3 linked regions of the Oryzias latipes genome follow. The protein of the gene in region 3 purifies or fractionates together with the protein of the main gene of each other region. This does not show direct contact. Links are inferred from orthologs where the notes say so. Each region holds a gene or a part of one and is shown on either strand. Other genes may lie near its edges. The genes, in order: nup85, nup98 and sec13.

The links.
Region 1: the proteins of sec13 (region 3) and nup85 purify together in Homo sapiens (affinity purification with mass spectrometry; 5 studies listed by BioGRID and IntAct, counting the BioPlex papers as one, with this or other methods). This does not show direct contact. The link is inferred for Oryzias latipes from reciprocal best matches to the Homo sapiens genes SEC13 and NUP85.
Region 2: the proteins of sec13 (region 3) and nup98 purify together in Homo sapiens (affinity purification with mass spectrometry; 4 studies listed by BioGRID and IntAct, counting the BioPlex papers as one, with this or other methods). This does not show direct contact. The link is inferred for Oryzias latipes from reciprocal best matches to the Homo sapiens genes SEC13 and NUP98.

What each region holds. Positions count from the first base shown.
Region 1 is NC_019866.2:13,020,094-13,025,627, forward strand, and holds the start of nup85 (nuclear pore complex protein Nup85), read right to left. Parts: upstream 3,575-5,534; 5' UTR 2,892-3,574; coding exon 2,859-2,891; intron 882-2,858; coding exon 791-881; intron 716-790; coding exon 559-715; intron 366-558; coding exon 295-365; intron 208-294; coding exon 164-207; intron 1-163. Other genes in the region: sumo2 (small ubiquitin-related modifier 2), read left to right, coding at 3,795-3,815. UniProt on the Homo sapiens protein: Essential component of the nuclear pore complex (NPC) that seems to be required for NPC assembly and maintenance. As part of the NPC Nup107-160 subcomplex plays a role in RNA export and in tethering NUP96/Nup98 and NUP153 to the nucleus.
Region 2 is NC_019872.2:23,871,472-23,876,905, forward strand, and holds part of nup98 (nuclear pore complex protein Nup98-Nup96), read right to left. Parts: intron 5,007-5,434; coding exon 4,893-5,006; intron 4,590-4,892; coding exon 4,451-4,589; intron 3,875-4,450; coding exon 3,697-3,874; intron 2,985-3,696; coding exon 2,826-2,984; intron 2,153-2,825; coding exon 1,922-2,152; intron 1,443-1,921; coding exon 1,310-1,442; intron 1,238-1,309; coding exon 1,005-1,237; intron 928-1,004; coding exon 746-927; intron 6-745; coding exon 1-5. UniProt on the Homo sapiens protein: Plays a role in the nuclear pore complex (NPC) assembly and/or maintenance. NUP98 and NUP96 are involved in the bidirectional transport across the NPC. May anchor NUP153 and TPR to the NPC.
Region 3 is NC_019863.2:32,815,542-32,821,075, forward strand, and holds the start of sec13 (protein SEC13 homolog), read right to left. Parts: upstream 3,246-5,534; 5' UTR 3,099-3,245; coding exon 3,096-3,098; intron 2,894-3,095; coding exon 2,849-2,893; intron 1,543-2,848; coding exon 1,427-1,542; intron 1,212-1,426; coding exon 1,060-1,211; intron 564-1,059; coding exon 430-563; intron 333-429; coding exon 199-332; intron 1-198. Other genes in the region: cullin-associated NEDD8-dissociated protein 1-like, read left to right, coding at 3,986-4,053, 5,332-5,475. UniProt on the Homo sapiens protein: Functions as a component of the nuclear pore complex (NPC) and the COPII coat. At the endoplasmic reticulum, SEC13 is involved in the biogenesis of COPII-coated vesicles.

The sequences.
Region 1 (5,534 bases), on a different chromosome or scaffold from region 3:
CAGACCACTAAAATCCACATCCGAGGAAACAAAAAAATATTACGAATAGTAAAAAGATTAAAAAGAAGAGGAAAAAAACTATTATACGTTAATAAGTTAAAAAATTAAACTAATCACAATTTCTAAAAAGGAAAAGATGAAACTAAAGAATAAAAACACGTGCCTGGTTTCCATACTGTACGGACATCTCTGCGTTTTTTGTGGAAACTGCAAACAAAAAAGTACATGCCATTATAAAAAACTACACTGTAGGATTCGAAGATACACTTCATGATTCAGTTTAAAGAAGCTAACCTGCAACTTGCTGCAGCTCCTCCATACAGGCTCGAATAACAGATCTATAGTTTTTACTGATGCTGACAAACCTATAGAGCAAAACAGGAATTGTTTTTTTTTTTTACTTTAACACTGTTTGACATGAAATAGTTACATGTTGATGTTTTGCCTGTTTTCTTTTTCAATCTTTATGTCATCCCACTGATCAAAAAATTAAAAAGAAAATGTCAATAAAAACTAATTATTTGTGTAAGCTGAGCGGTCTCTCATCAGGAGACTTACTGAGGTTTCTTGTTCTTGCTGGGCAGATCCTCCCTGATTGTTTGCAAGCCAACAAAAATGTGATGCGACTCGTTAAAGAGTTTGCGCAAAATAGGAGAGTAGATGTCTTCATCTTTCCGGACTTCATGGATGAAGGGGGAACCAGATCCTGTTGCACCTGAAACACAAGACAATAGAAAGGAAACAAAGCAAGAAGACTTGCGAAAGTATTGAAACTGAAATTAACACATACCTGTTGCTTTGAAGAGGGTCTCATAGACAAAGATATTACCTTGACCCCATGCAAAGCCCATATGCTTTCCTCTTCTGAGTGCAGGAATATTCTGTATTGAGAGTGATAACACAGATTTCCAATTGTAATAATCTCTGCAACATTCAATAGAACATTATTGAACATCACTAAAGTGCTTATTTGACCATTTCTATCTTGTAGCAAAGCTTTTTGGGATTCAATCTAACTAAGTTTTGTTTCCTTATATTTAAAAAAAAGACTTTCAATCAATATCTACTGAAAATCCTGCAAAAGTACGTTCTTTACAATCATAAGGCATTTGACACGGTGAATCATGAGATTCTTTTGTCTAACTTTTCTATGGACTCAATTCAGTGGATAAAATCATATCCAGAATTCAGAAAACAGTGTGATTGTATTAACAGTGTCAAATCAACTCTCTTAGATGTCCCTGTTGGTCTACCACAGGGATCAATACTTGGGCCTTTATTGTTTTCTATGTATATTAATGATCTGCCAAACACATGTGGTAATGTTGAATTTCAAATGTATGCTGATGATGCTGTCATATTCACTAGCGCAAAAAATATTCAAGAAGCAGCCTCTATTCTTACCTCAGCTCTGGTTCCTGTAAATGAATGGCTTTCTAAATCTTGCTTACTGTTAAATACAACTAAAACTGTTTGTATGATGTTCACTAAGCAACCAGTGGACATCAAGCATTCAGGTATATTTTTGGAAGAACGGGAACTAGAAATTCTATCTAAATTTAAGTATCTTGGTGTGACACTTGATTCAACTCTGAGCTTCAAGAGCCATATTAAAAAAATTCACTTGGAGCTGCTAGAATGTTTTTGCATTCAATGATTCTATCACATATTGAATACTGTATTACATGTTGGTCCTTGCCGGGTGTAAATACGAGCAAAACCATAGAATCACTTTATAAAACAATCACTTAAGGTCTTAGATAGAAAACCAATGTCATTCCATGTTTGTAATATCTTGAAAAAGTACAAGTTGTTGAGCTTTGAGAATTTTAAAAATTTTAAATTCGCTTGTTTGATGTACAAGGTGTTACATGGACTTGCTCCGCCTCCCATGTCTGACTTTTTTTAAATAAGGTCTCACAGCGCTCTCAGGACTAGGGCCTCGTCTCGAGGGGACTGTGAGGTTCCACACAGAAAAACAGCCTTTGGACAAAACGCTCTTTCTGTAAAGGCCAGTAAACTCTTGAACAGTCTTCCATTGTACATAAGGGAGTGTCAATAATTACAGACCTTCAAAACACAGCTCAAGCAGTGGCTGAAAGCAAACCAGTCCTGTAACCACTGACTTTTAACTCTCATAATGTACCACTTTCTTGTGTTCTTATTGTATCTGTGACTGTGTCTTTTGTTTTGTCCTGTTTTATGTTTCCTGCCTAGGGACTAGGGATGCAAATTAGCATCATTGCTATAATCCAGCATGTTTACGCCTATAATCATTGTTTGGTAGATGTTCATTAATGTGCACTGTCCCTATTAAACAAAGCTTAAATAAAATAAAATCATTTTAAAATGTCCTGGCTTTCAAACAACATTCGATTTATTGCCTATTAGTTGCAATGTTACAACCAACACTCTTATGGTTTTCTTTTGCCTTTCTTAGTTTTAATCCATTGGACACATGCAACAGGATATTTATTTACCTTGACATTAAGACAGAGACTGGACTCAAAAATGTCCAGGAAAAGACTTACCTTTCTTTGTTTGACAAAGCACAAAATAACTTAACAAAACGTAGAAGACAAAAATAACGTTACATTTTGATTTTCTAACCATTGTTCCAAGTTTGTTTCTTTATATCCAAGAACATGTCAACTGTGACATTGTTTTAGCTACGAAACCTCCAACTCGTAATGTCGGTCCGTAACATTTCATCATAAACTTTTGTGTTTGTATCATTAACTACTAGTGTATTTTTTTATTCCGAATTTTAGGATTTACAAAATTCAAAATGCTTAGCTAACTTGTTAGCTGCTATTCGATAGCGCATAACAATAAACTACATAGTACGAAAGACTTACGGTTATCGTCGGTTCAACGTCTACCTCCTCCATCGGATGAAACTTTTTAGATCCTTTTAAATTTCAAACTATGAACTTTTTCACCTTAATCATGCCATTTAACACGTGCTATAATATAGCAACGCTTGCGCGCCTCTCTTTTTCTACGACTATCTCGCGCATGCGTCAAATGTAGGACTGTCCTACTTAATGCCTGTTTTGTTTTTTGTTTTTTTAAATTTGCAAGTACAGTACTTTCTTTTACTTTTAATCTACGTCAAGAAAACTGACATGACTGAAGCAAATAACACTATCTTTAGAATCGATATACATTTAAAAGTCGAAGTAATTTTATTCCGAAAACGTGTAACATATTCTCAGAATCAGGAAGATACAATCGTATCATATTGTTAATATACATTAAAACGTTATATAAGTTAGCTATCTTAGAAAATATATCGCCATATCGGTAAATGTTGTCGTTTAGTCGGTGCCTGTTTTTTATTGTAACAAAAAAAGAAAGAAAAACCAAGATGGCCACTGGGCTATAATGAGGGGTTAAAATAAGGAGAGTACTAATATATCACGCTGTACATCTAATACCGATCATATGGGCGCTTTATGAAACGTGCAGCACTGATACTAGTCTTCGGCGTGACGATGAACAGATTTCCTTCGTATATAATAGACCTAAACCAAAAACAAAAGGGAAAAATTCTGCCGTGCGCGTGCATGTGAAGCCGAGTATCTCTGTAACGCGCAGGCGGTAGTCTCCCGCCCATAACTAGACTGCGCTTTAGTCCACGTGACTTCATGCGGCCAATTAAATCCTTGTTCAGTGAACGCGCATTGACACATGCCCGCGCACGTTTCCCCGAATAATTTAAACGGGAACGAGTACGTGCGCGCACTCATATTCTTTGTGTGGTAGCATAGAGAAGCGCCAAAAGAGTGACGATGGCTGATGAAAAACCAAAGGTAAGTGACCCCATTGTCAATTACGATGCTATTACAAATTAACTGGATCGCCGATCTTAAAGGTGAATTTACATTCCCGCGTGTGCTGTTCGTATTTTTTTAAATAAAAAAGTTAAGTGATAAGATTCAACTGTACCTACTTTGATGGACCGGAAGGTATGTGAGCGCGCATGGACTGGCGCGCACGTCGCTTTTAGGCTGATTACATCCCGCCAACCAGCTGGTGTCGTTCTCTATAAATCTTGCGGTTTTCTTGCGTTGTGTTTGTGTGGTAATTAAGTTGTCTGTGTTTTGTAATGACGCACCAGAATGGAAAAAATAAACAAGAAAACGAACTGTTTGTATTTAGTCTCTAGACTAAACTGTTCTAGTCAGTCTGCAACACTTTGGCTTGACTCGTTGAAGAAAACGGGTTATAACAACTGGATACCAAAAATAAAATATTCAAATACTTGAAACTAATATTTAACAATGAATACGTGTTTTTTAGCATCTGTTTTTCATACGGCCTACAATTATGTTTCTATCCCTGGTAATTCTGGTATTTTATCTTTTTATTTTTCCACTCTGACAAACATAAAGAACTATAGAACAAACAATCTGCATGATAAACATTGCAACCCACTTGCCTCACAAAACGAACCTTTTTTGTAAATAAATAAATTAAATTAACTTTTTTCTGGTACAACAGAATGGTTAAATCCAGGTACATAGGTGTGACTTGTTGTGTGTCTTGGATCGTGTTTCCTTAAGTTAAAGGTCTTCTTAATTGGAGGACAGGTCTTCTTAATTTTTTTTCTTAGTCTCTAAATTTTGAATGTTGAACCCCAAGAAAAATGGTTCCTATCAATAGGTGTGTTAATGGTCAGAAAAGCTCTGAGCATTGAAACAAAGAAAGAAACCATCGAGCTGCACCTGACGTTCAAGGTGCGTCCTGCCGAACTGTATGACCACGGGGGAACAGCAACGAGGTCAGAAAACTATTCAGAGATGAAGATGAGAGGCAGACGGAGGCAGAGCTCATCTGCGAGAAAGTCAGGGTATGAAGAAATAAAGAAGTACAAATGCAGAAGGAGCTAAAACAGAAGAAGAAGAATCCAAGGCTGTTTGAGTGGCCTTGCACGGAGAGGTAGCTAGGACCGACAAAGCTGCTGCTGAGAGGTTTGCAGGAGAATTTCAGGTGTTAGTTTGGGAAGAAGGCCACAGCCCTCATCAGCTTTTCAACTGAAGCAAAAATGGCCTCTTCTGGAAGAAGTGACCCAACTTGCATCACCAAGGAGGAGAAAAGACCTCCTGGACACAAACCCATTAAGGAAAAACAGAAGGGGATGACTCTCCTCAGAAGATGAGAAGAGCAAAAGGTCAATTCCTTCCATCACCATCAAGAACACACTTAAGAAGTAGGACCAAGACGTCCATTCAGTGGCACCCCAACCAAACTGAAGTCTACAGACTAGTGAATTTGTTGAAGGTCATGGTCATTTCAGGAACATACTCAAAAATGGAGGAGAAACAGACTTTGGCTAAGTTCTTCCAGCCAGGGTGACTAAGAAACTTCAACCTGTTGAAGCTAAAGAACAGACCTATTCTCCACTCAATATTAGGCCACTCAAGGAGAGTCCGTCTCACCTGTCGGCGCTCTTTTGATGGAGCTGGAAATTTTATTTCCCTACATTATTCCTCTTTTTTGTGGCGATGTTGCACACATTGCCAGATTTC
Region 2 (5,434 bases), on a different chromosome or scaffold from region 3:
TCAAACTGAAACCAAACATCAGGATTTGGAGTCACAAAGATGTCTTTGCTCTCTTCAGCGCTCTGTGGGAACCGGCGCCCTCCAGAAAAGACTATTTAATGTTTCCACAGTTTGGTGTTTTCTCCTGCTGTTATTTTCAGGTTAAAGCTACGTGGCGTGTGACCCAAATGTAGCCCATTACTAGCCCATGTTGCCACCTACAGTTGGAAGAGGCTTGTTGCAAAAAGTGGGCAAATCTGGTCAGTCTTGCTCCAGGCTTTTTCTTTCTTACATATCTGAAAGACTTGGCATCAGAATTCGGAGCAACCACAAACCACAATTATTAATTTCTCCTCTTCTGTGAATTAAAAAGGACATCAACCAAATTTGAAACCCTGGTTGGTCATATATGGTTATATTTTTAACGTTTGTTCGATGGTTTTGTATGTAAAGGCTGAAAACGGTCTTAAGCATGAACACAAGAGATTGGAACGCTGAAACGCGCATTTACGTGCGCTTACATAGACTTTTCTTTGGAGGTGGAGGCTTGATCACGCAATGCTGAGGGCGAGGTGAACACAGCTGAAGACTTCTCAGTTCAAACGAGAAAAATAGCTAAATCTATTCTGCATAAAGGAGTTTCTGCATTTTTGCTTGTCATTTCGACAGTTTCCCATAATGCTTAGCGTCAGCGTCGAACAGGATCAGGATTTGTGCACAGCAGTGAGTCGACAGCAGCTTAAAGATGAGGGACAAGCAGCCTTACGGTTTGGTCCGGGCAGCCTTTGGCAGGAAGCTGAAGTCGGCCAGGCACAGGTCTCTGCTTGCCCCTGGTTCAGATGTCGGAGAGCTGAGTCTGCTGCCGCAGTGGGCCAGCGTCCAGCCGGGACCCCAGCCCACCCTGAAGGAGCGGCCAGCAAATAGCCCCGCGTCCATCAGCAGGCCTCCCTGTACAGAGAAGACACAGATGACGCTCCTCCCCAGCACCTCCTCTTAGGCGTCCTCCATGAAGTACAGGTACCCACCTTCCCCTGAGTGACGGACTCTTTCAGAGGGACAGGTCCGTCCAAGCGGCGCACTCCGACCGTCCTGATTGGGGGCTCTGTCGTTCGAGGGGGGAGCATAAAAGAGGAGGGGCCCAGGCCTTTCCACTGCACTGAGCGGGGGGGTTCCGGTCCCACTGGAGACGCTCGAGGGGGAGGGCGGAGCGACTCAGAGAGCTGACCAGTAGAGAAGCGAGTCTGGAAGAGTCCACCAACTGCAGAGAGAAAAGGATCAGACCCAGGGCGCCAGCAGAACCAACCCTGGGAGGGCGGGGTGTAGCTCTTACCAGAGGGTCGACTCAGAGATGCTGGCATGGCGAGGCGTGGAGATGAGATGTCAGCGGAAACCTTCATCCCACCCTGATGCTGGAAAAGGTCTCCCTCATCTTCATCCTCAGCAAACAGAGATGCCTTCATGATCTGCAGACAAACATCCACCCTCAGAACAAACCCACCATGTCACCGTGGCAACAATCCCCCTGCTCCTCCTAGAAAACCGGTGAGTTTTTCCTTTGAACGGCAACATGATCTACGTAGTCATGGTAACCCATCATTCTGGCATTAATCTCCATGGGCGTCTGACGATGGCCTGTTTTTTGATGAAAAGGGGTTCAAATCATTGATTTCTGGATCCAGACTTTTATTAGTCAGCTCTGCTTCTTTTCCAGTGAGGAGGCGTCAGGCCAACAGCCCAACGTCCAGCTGACGCAGCAGCAGAAGAAAACTAATGAGTGAAGATAAACTACTTTGAACCAAAACTTGAGACCTGTTAATGCCGTTTCCTGATTATTGGTCAGGATAACGCTTTAGTCACATCTGGGTTCAAACCTGCGGCCTCTTTGGCACTAGAGCCAAAGGCGGACCGTGGGAGAGGCGTCCTGACCGGCCTGTGGCTGTACCTGCAGGGTGTGCGGGTTGATCCCCATGGAGGAGGCCAGGTGTGTGGATGCGGAGATGCTGTCGTGCTCCTCAGAGACCAAACCGCCGAGCTTTGGGCTGGTTCCATTCATGTCCCCCTGCAGCAGAGCGCCCTCCTCCTCACCTCCCAGCATGCTCTCTGGCAGGTTGCTCTGGGTGATGTCAGCCATGTCGCTGTCAAACTCCGCCACGCCACTCATGAGGTCAACAGACTGAACAGAAAGAAGGAGCGCGTGAGGAAAGCCGACCACGACAGAGCTGCTGGAGAACGCTGCGCTGGAGTTCAGTTAAAGGGAACCTGAAGGGGGGGGGTTCTGAAGGCCTGGTGTGGACACACCCACCACGATAAAAAGTTCAAATGCAGCACAGAAAAAATAAAATAAAACCCTTGGGAAACTGCTTCATGTCTCCATGGTTCAGATGACCCGGAAGAAAAACTGGAAAAACTCACAGAAGCTTTACGCTCCACAGGAACAAACTGGACAAAACAGTGACAATCGTCTTTTCAAACTTTATTCAAACATTGTTCATTGAAGTGGAAACCAGAACATTCCAGTCGGATCTTTGAGAAAGTTAAAACATTTTAAAGACAGCTTTGATATCACTTTTGTTCTAAAACTTATTAGGGACCCAAAAGACCTCCATGAATGGACCTTCAGAGATCACAGGTCTGAAACACTCACTGTCTCTTAAAGTCAAAATCCTGACCTGACATCTAAGAAGGTCCATCCCTCAACAGTTCAACCATCAGCAGAAACTCAGATCTGTGCAGCGTCTAAACGTCAGAGCAGTCTTTCTGTGATCTGTGCACTCTGCTTCAGAAACGACAAACCCGCTACAGGAGGAACATCAGACTCATCTGAACTCAGTGTCAGGCTGCTCTACCTGAGCCTGTGGCGCCACCTGCTGCTGGGACGGGGGGAGCAGCGGCTGCAGCTTGGAGGCAGGAAGTGACATCATCTTGAGTTTCTTGGGGTCTGCCTTAGGCGGGACGTCGTCGTCTTCATCGGAGTCTTGAAGGCCGTACTTGGAGAAATGGTTCACCTGAGGAAGAGGGAGGAGTCAGCGCCCGTGATGTTTGTTCAAACTGGTGTGTTCACCTAGATAACCCGCTCTCTGACATGAAGTTACACCTCGACTGTTTAAGAAATCAACTTAAACCAACGGAAAAGGGGCTAAAGCTGCGACAGAATCAGCTGATTCACAAAACTGCTTTTCTCCACTTCAGAATCTGCTGGAATAACGACAATTGCATAAACAGTTACTAGAGTCAAAATGTCAACCGTGGAGCTAATGCTCCAGTGTTAAAGGGTTAAACTGACTGCTTGTTTAAGGCCCCACATCATGCATTCAGTTCTTCCATCTTAAAGGTAAACCAGACATGTCCAAAGTCTGGCCCCTGGGTCAAATGTGGCCAACATTCTGCTGTCATTAAATCTACCAACAGAACTTCCTGATGCAGTGCTGCATCTTCTGCATGTTAAGACAGAGTCCAGGTGAGCTTTCAATCCTGCCAAAGCCAGAGAACCGTTAGAGGAAACTCAGATTTCATATTAGTGAATGGTTGGCAGTAAACGCCATCAGTACGTTTTTTTCCTTCTTAAGAATTCTTGATCAAGTCTTGACAAGGTTTCAAGACTCCCATTTTGTTAAAACCCCTGTGATGGTCAAATGTCCGGCAGAAACAGCTTTTCTCTTTCAAACTTTCAACACACGACAAAAATCATTGGGATGAACCATGGGGGGGGGGACTGACCTCAAATACCCAAGACCCACTCTCTGGTCTGTACTCTAGGAAGCGAGCGCCCTGTTTGCGGGACGCCTTCTCCAGCCGGCCCTCGTAGTTCATGTCCGCCAGGCGCTCGGGGCTCCTGATCTGAGTGCAGCTGGTTTTGTCGTTGGGCCAGACGCCGTCCAGAGTCACCTCGGCCCGTCTGCAGACGCAAACAGCAGGTTCAGGGAACATCAAAGCAGAGCACAAACTCAAACCTCGGTGCCTCAACTGACAGAGGAGTTCCTCAGGAGAACGCGGACTAGGGCTGCACGATTTGAGTGAAACTCGCAATTTCGGATATTATTGATTTTTACTGCGATGACGATACATGAAGAAATAGAAAAACATCTAAATACATCAATCCAATTTCACTGCAACAGTTTATTTCACGTAAGAGTCAACATCACTTAAATTTTAGTCCAAATGACCCTCGTCTACATAGGAGGCAGCATCTAACATACAGGGCTTCATCCAATTGGTCAAATGCATAGATGGATTTATTTGATTTGCTAAATCCTTCAAGCTCCCATAAGATTGTTTTAGCACATTTATTGTAACCATTTATTGCAATTTTGGCCGTCTTTTGCAATATGCATATTGCACAGCTTGATATGGTGATAACGATAATTTTGGGATTTATTTATCTTATTATTGTGCAGGCTTAATGTGGAGTTTGCAGGCATTTTACTCTGAAATCATCTTATCAGATTTTTTTTCTCAGCCTCCAGTCACTCACCTGTTAAGCCCCTCCCCCTCTGGTGGCTTGTTTTTGTCATCAGGATACACGATGACCTCTTTGCGTCTGAAGTGAACAACCTCGTCAAGGTTCAGGTTCGTCAAATTGACCTCCCCAGGGAAGAAGATGGAGCCGTAACCTGTGCCGGCCAAACAGAATTCAATTCAATTCAATTTTCTTTGTATAGCCAAAATTCACAACAACAGTCGTCTCGATGGGCTTTGTACCGGTAATTGAAAAAGTAAAACATAAAATCAAAAGGATCATGAATACATAGAATTCAACAGGAAAATACTAAATTGAACAAACAAACTGACTAAACTAAACTGGCATCCCTGCCCTTAGACCCTCCTTCGCAAAGGGTCCAAACGACAGAACACGACAGTGAGGCGGTTGTCCAGTTAGATTCACGGAAGTGTGAACTGGAACAGGAAGTGGTTACCTTTCCTTCCAACAGTGAAGTTCTCCACGATGCACTCTCCATTTTCATCCACCATGTCAGCCAGATCCTCCAGAGGGGGGATGGTGTAATACCCGACCCGGTTCAGGACGATACCTGAGAATCAGAGCACAGATGTGACTCTTTCGTGCTGCAGCCATAATTAGGGCTGTAATCAGCATCTGAATCCCTGGATATTCGTGATGGGTTCCAGAAAAACTAAGTAGAAATATTTGTGATCAACAATTAGCAACCTTTAGAAATATAGCAGAGAATAGTAAAATACACTTTGGACGATGGAATTACCACTTTAAAATGTTAGATGGTTTTTTTGTAATGTTGTATATAAACCAAACAAACCGAATGTGCTGCTGTCACGAAAGTAAAAAGATCTTCAAAGTAAAAATCTTAAATGCTTTTCGTAGACGAAAAAAAGAAATGAGAAAAGTTCAGTTTACTGAACTAATAATAAAGAATCTTTTTAATTATAGCTGACAATTTGAATGGGGATATTATAATATTTTATATATAATATTTTAAAAGAT
Region 3 (5,534 bases):
GGGGTCAGAGTTCATGTTTAGGGGAAATAAATCCTTATTGTCTGCTCCACTGTTCAAATAAATGATTCAGAACTAAATCCACCTGATTTCCTGGATTCATTTTCTACTTTCTGTCTCTGGCAGCTGAAGTTCTGATGAACATTACCGACCAGAACTTGCAGAATCTGTGACCTTTGGCCCGGCGTAACTCAAACTTACTTCCAGAGTTTAACCAGGTTGTCGCAGCCTCCGGAGACGAAGCGTTTGACGTAGTTCGGTTTCTGTCCGGACGGCTGATCTATCAAGCTGCCTGGAACCACAGCCGGAGCCCAACTCACAGCGTTGCAGCCGATCTGCAGCAGACACCGGATCACTGACCCGTAAACACAAAGGACAACCCGAGCAGAATCGGCCTTTCTCGGTGGACCAGCAGTAGTGGGTCAGACTCACAGTGTGTGCGTTGCTGATCTTTTTCACGTCCCACTGCTGATCTCCAGTTAGGGTGAGGAGGGAAATGGCTCCATCGGAGCTGCCGCAGGCCAGGATGAGGCCGAACTCATAGGGACCCCAGCAGACAGAGTTGACTGCAAACACGACAGCAGCAGCGCCATGAACACAAAGACGCGGCCGTTTACCGTGGTCACAGTGACTCTTCAAAGGTCTTCTTTTACATTCTACCCACTAGCTCTTCAGCATAATCAGCGGAGGTCAGCCGATTCTGTCGCAGACAAAAGCAGGAAGTGTTGCATAGCGGCCTTAAGCGATCAGTTCAGCTGATTCCTGCTGATCGCAGAAACAGACGAGGATTTACGCTTCGTCAAAGAGCACGAGCCGCCGGCGGCGTCTCCGCTGTCAAAAGCACGGAGAACGTCTCTCCTGCTTTCGGATCGGCTGAAGTTCCACAGCAACACAAACAACAACCAGTAAAAATGATAACAAACACAATCTAACTCTGGTGTGGAATTACAAACACTGAGAATAGGATAAGAAATGGCATTTACCATAAACACCTACAGAGTAGCTGTAATGGAATGAGCTGGAGTTCTAACACTGGATGAGGGGAAACATTCCCTTACTGACCTGAGGACTCGTGTCCCGTGTACTCGTACATCTTGTCCCAAGCTCCGTTCTCCTCCTTCCAGACGATGACCTTCCGGTCGTAGGAGCAGGAGGCCAGGATGTTCCCAAACATGGGGTGGGCCCACGCCACCTGCCAGACGGGCCCTTCATGGCTGAACGAAGAACACAAAATCTCTCACACGCGAGTTCAGAGTAGAAATGAACTTTTCACGATGAAAGCCGTTTGTGTTTCACGATATTTGTCAGCGTGTATTATACCAGCATAAAGAACATTAAACTAGAAGTTATTCTTCTTGGAGAACACCCACCTGCTGTTCTTTACTGCATTTAACAGAGGATAACTAAGACTTTTCTGAGGATGACTCACCCTCGGAGGTCTGCCACTAGAATCTGTCCTCCGTTCCTGACATCAAAGATCTTGACAGTGCGGTCAGAGGAGCATGTGGCGAGTCGCGTCCCGTAATAATCCATCTGAGCGTCATGCTGAAACACAGAAACATGTATGTGTTCACAGCCAGTGAAACCATTTCTATGTGTCTGATGTTTCAAATGGACATTTTGAGATTGAAAGGGAAACACGTATGCTGGTTATGTCAATCATTATACTGGCACTAAATGAAGGCACAAATCCAGAACTCCTGGATCTAAACCTTTCATGTCAGCCGTTTGAATCTACAGCACCTCTGGATCAGGAAGAGGCTGTTTAAAAACCACCTAGAGAGCGGTGGTCTTCCAGCTGAAAGGGTGACATCATCGGCGTGTGAAGGTCAAAGGTCTTTAGTACTAGTAGGTAGAAAGAAACACTGCAGAAAGGCAGGTCGTTACATTTGGATAAAGGGAAGATTTCTGAGAATTTAACTCCTAAAACCAGAATAAAGACATGAAGAGAACTTTTCAACACGTGTGAGTATTTAGACACGCCATCACTTCCCATCCAACTCACCTGAAGATTTACAGATGCATGAATGCAGATGGGATGCAACTGCCAGGCGTGTCTAGTGTTTAAGTGTATACAGCACAGCGCTTTTAATACTAGAACAAATCATTTTTAATTGAGGATCCTCACATCAGTGAAATCAGGGGCTGGAGGTTGATTTAGATGCTTTTATGCAACAGACAACTGCCTCAATGCTATCAAGAATGAAACATTTTGATGTTGAAGGGAATTCATCCATCCCGCTCAGGATTACAGGGTTGCTGGAGCCTATCCCATCAGGGTTCACCCAGGACACTTCACCCGTGCATCACAGAGACACACAACAACACACATGAACCTTTACAGCATGTCCCTGGACTCGTCAACAAAAAGTTATGTGTTCGTACTTTTAGAACACTGTGACCTCTGATAGGTTGATAACATGTTTGTCTTTCTTGTATGTTCGTTTAAAATGAAGCCCGTCTCTATGATCATGTGTTAGGCAAACGTTTCCCTCTAAAATCATTAAGGGTATCATTCAGGAACAAGTATCACAATAAAATCCAGCCTTTCTGATAAAAGTGGGTCATTTCTTCTAAAGAGATTAAAGCACAAAGAACAAGATGAACTTCAAGAAAACAACAAGACAGACAGAAAAAACACGTTTCCCCCACAAACAAACCTAAGGATAAATGTAATTATAAATCAATATTAATGATTAGTTCCAAACGATAACGATACAGCCCCAAAATAGAGTAATCAAACCACAGTAAAAGTTTAATTGTAAGAACGGATAAACGTGTGAAACAATATTAAACAAATTCAATGTAATTATCCATCCACGGATAGCATAGTGGGAGGTCAAACACTTACAATCATGTCCTCGTGGGAGGTGTCCACGGTGTTAATAACGGAGACCTATAGATTAGAAACAGCAGAATTTTATTTGACCTGTTCATAAAAAAAATAACCATCATTGTTTTTATCTGCAGTGCTAACGCGTCAGCTAGTATTTCGGCTAACGGGAGCTAGCTAACTGTGAGTCTTAGCAGGCAAACGTAAACTTTAAAGATGTTTTTAAGAAATGCTAAAACCATTTTTATAAAGTATTTTAACCAACCATCGCTGCTGTTTAACCCAAAAACCCTTCAACAGTTTTCTGGTCGCTTAGCAATGAATCGACCGGGTTTACAAACTACTCCGACGTGGCAACAAGTACCGCAGACCGCTTCCAGAGCCCGAGACTTGCTTCCGGCGGAAGTGACGCAATCGAAACGTAAGTTCCGCCTACACGACAACAACGCAAAATTACATTTACAAAGCCTGTTGATGCAACGACAGGGCTGCTCCCTGTTCCCTTCTCTGTCTATCTGTCTCTCTGTCTATCTGTGCCGGTCCCAAGCCCGGTTGCTTTGAGAAGGTTGCGTCAGGAAGGGCATCCGGCGTAAAACATTGCCAAGTTTACCATGCGACTTGTTCGCTGTGGCGACCCCTGATGGGAAAAGCCGAAAGAGGAAAAAAAAAAAAAAAAAAAAAAAAAAAAAGTTGATGCAACGAAAGAAGAGTCAAAACATCTTCCTGTAAAATAACAAAAGGTATATTTTCACATTAAACAATCTAAATTTATTTGGGACAATACTCACACACATGAAAGCCAATTAAAAAATAAAGTTATAAATCAGAAAACAATCTATTTACAAAACAACCTTGTATGTTATTCAAACAAATTCATGGCAAACAGAGACTGTAAAACTTCTCTTTACAGTCCATGGTTTAGGATTTCAAAACGAACTCGGCTGTAATGCTCGGTTTGTCCACACGAGGGAGACATAAACCAGAATAAGTGTGCTGTATTTTTAGCTGACCCTGGGGGTGTCAGGTTTAAGGTTAGCTCCGCTTTCTGCCCACCAGCCTCGCCATGTTGTCAGGGTGAATCTGGTTCCCCAGTTCCATTGCTTTCCTACAGATTTAGCATTTATCGGCGTCCGTGTCAGCTGTTAAAGAACCATCATGTCTAACGTGTCCTACCACATCTCCAACCTGTTGGAGAAAATGACCTCCACTGACAAAGACTTCAGGTAAAGTAAGAGACAGCTGCTCATCAGCTGCTCATCAGCTCTGACAGTGAGACCCTTTTTACTCTGACTCGTCATTCGATTGTAGATATTTCTTTTGTCAAAACGTTTGTTTAAGACACTCTGAGTAATGAATATAAAGCAGTGAATGTTAAAGTAATGAACATTTTAATTTAAAATCTGATCAGAGACTCAGAGGAGAAAAGACAGTTATTAAAAGGTTCTTTTTTTACATTTTGCTGAAAATGCAGATGTATTTAGTTTACTAACATTTAAAAAGTGCAAAATTCAAATGACAAAGAAGTGAAAGTAAAAGTTTCATTACACACACATCATGAAACTTGAACACAAACTTTAGAAGTACAACAAGAAGCGAATCCTAAACTCAGGTGTTTGTGTACAGAACGAAACCTTTAAAACTGTTTTAGTTGATTTCTTTGTAAAGATTTGTTTATGTCACGCTTTTGAATCCAAACTATTTCAATTATTAAAATCAAATCACAACTGAAGCTTCAATAAAGAATATGAAAACAAGAGGCGGCATCTCCAAAAGTTGACAACTTCTACAGTATTTTTAGAATAAAACGTTAGACTAATCATGGCCTAAATCTATGCACCAAAGTCACAATTCAACTTAAAAAATGACAGCATCTACAATATGTCCCGTCAAACAAACATGTTTATGTATAATAACTAGAAAACGACACAGTAAGATCTTTGTGAGGAGATAGCTTAGTCCTGTGTTTTAATATTATTTTGTAGGAATCCATAAGTGGAGCAGATAAGGCGTTTTATTATGAGGACAGAGAGCATCGGGCCTCAATGAATGTTCTGTGGGCCGGAGTGGTCCTCCATTGGAGACCGGGGAAGAAAGAAAGACAGACAGACAGGCAGACAGACAGAAAGTGATCTCAGTGTAGCCAAACACGGTGACGTATGTTTCAGAGGACGTTCGATTGGCCATTCTGCATGTCAATCAAGTCACGTATTTCATGCTGAGGATGATTATTCGCTGGGGAATAAAAATATATTTTTATTTTTGATGCCCCGCTACCATCACACCCGTCATACTTAGCACCCCCTTGGTAAAAACATTTCTTTTGCTTGTAGCATCAGCGTGTCATTGCCTAAATCACTGGATGCTGGTTTGATTCCAGCCACACTGAGCTGCTTCCTTCATGTTTGCTCAGAGATCACTTTATTTGAAGGTTCAGACCTGCAGAAGGAGCAGGACACTTTGCTCCAAGTGTCTCATTTCTCTGCATGTGCTGCTGCATCCAGGTTCATGGCCACGAACGACCTGATGCTGGAGCTGCAGAAGGACAGCATCAAACTGGACGAGGACAGTGAGAGGAGGGTGGTGGCCATGCTGCTCAAACTGCTGGAGGACAAGAACGGAGAAGTGCAGAACCTGGCTGTGAAATGGTAACGTTTGCAGGAACCAGCAGGCAGAGCTGGAAGCTGGAAATGAAGGTCGCTGTGAT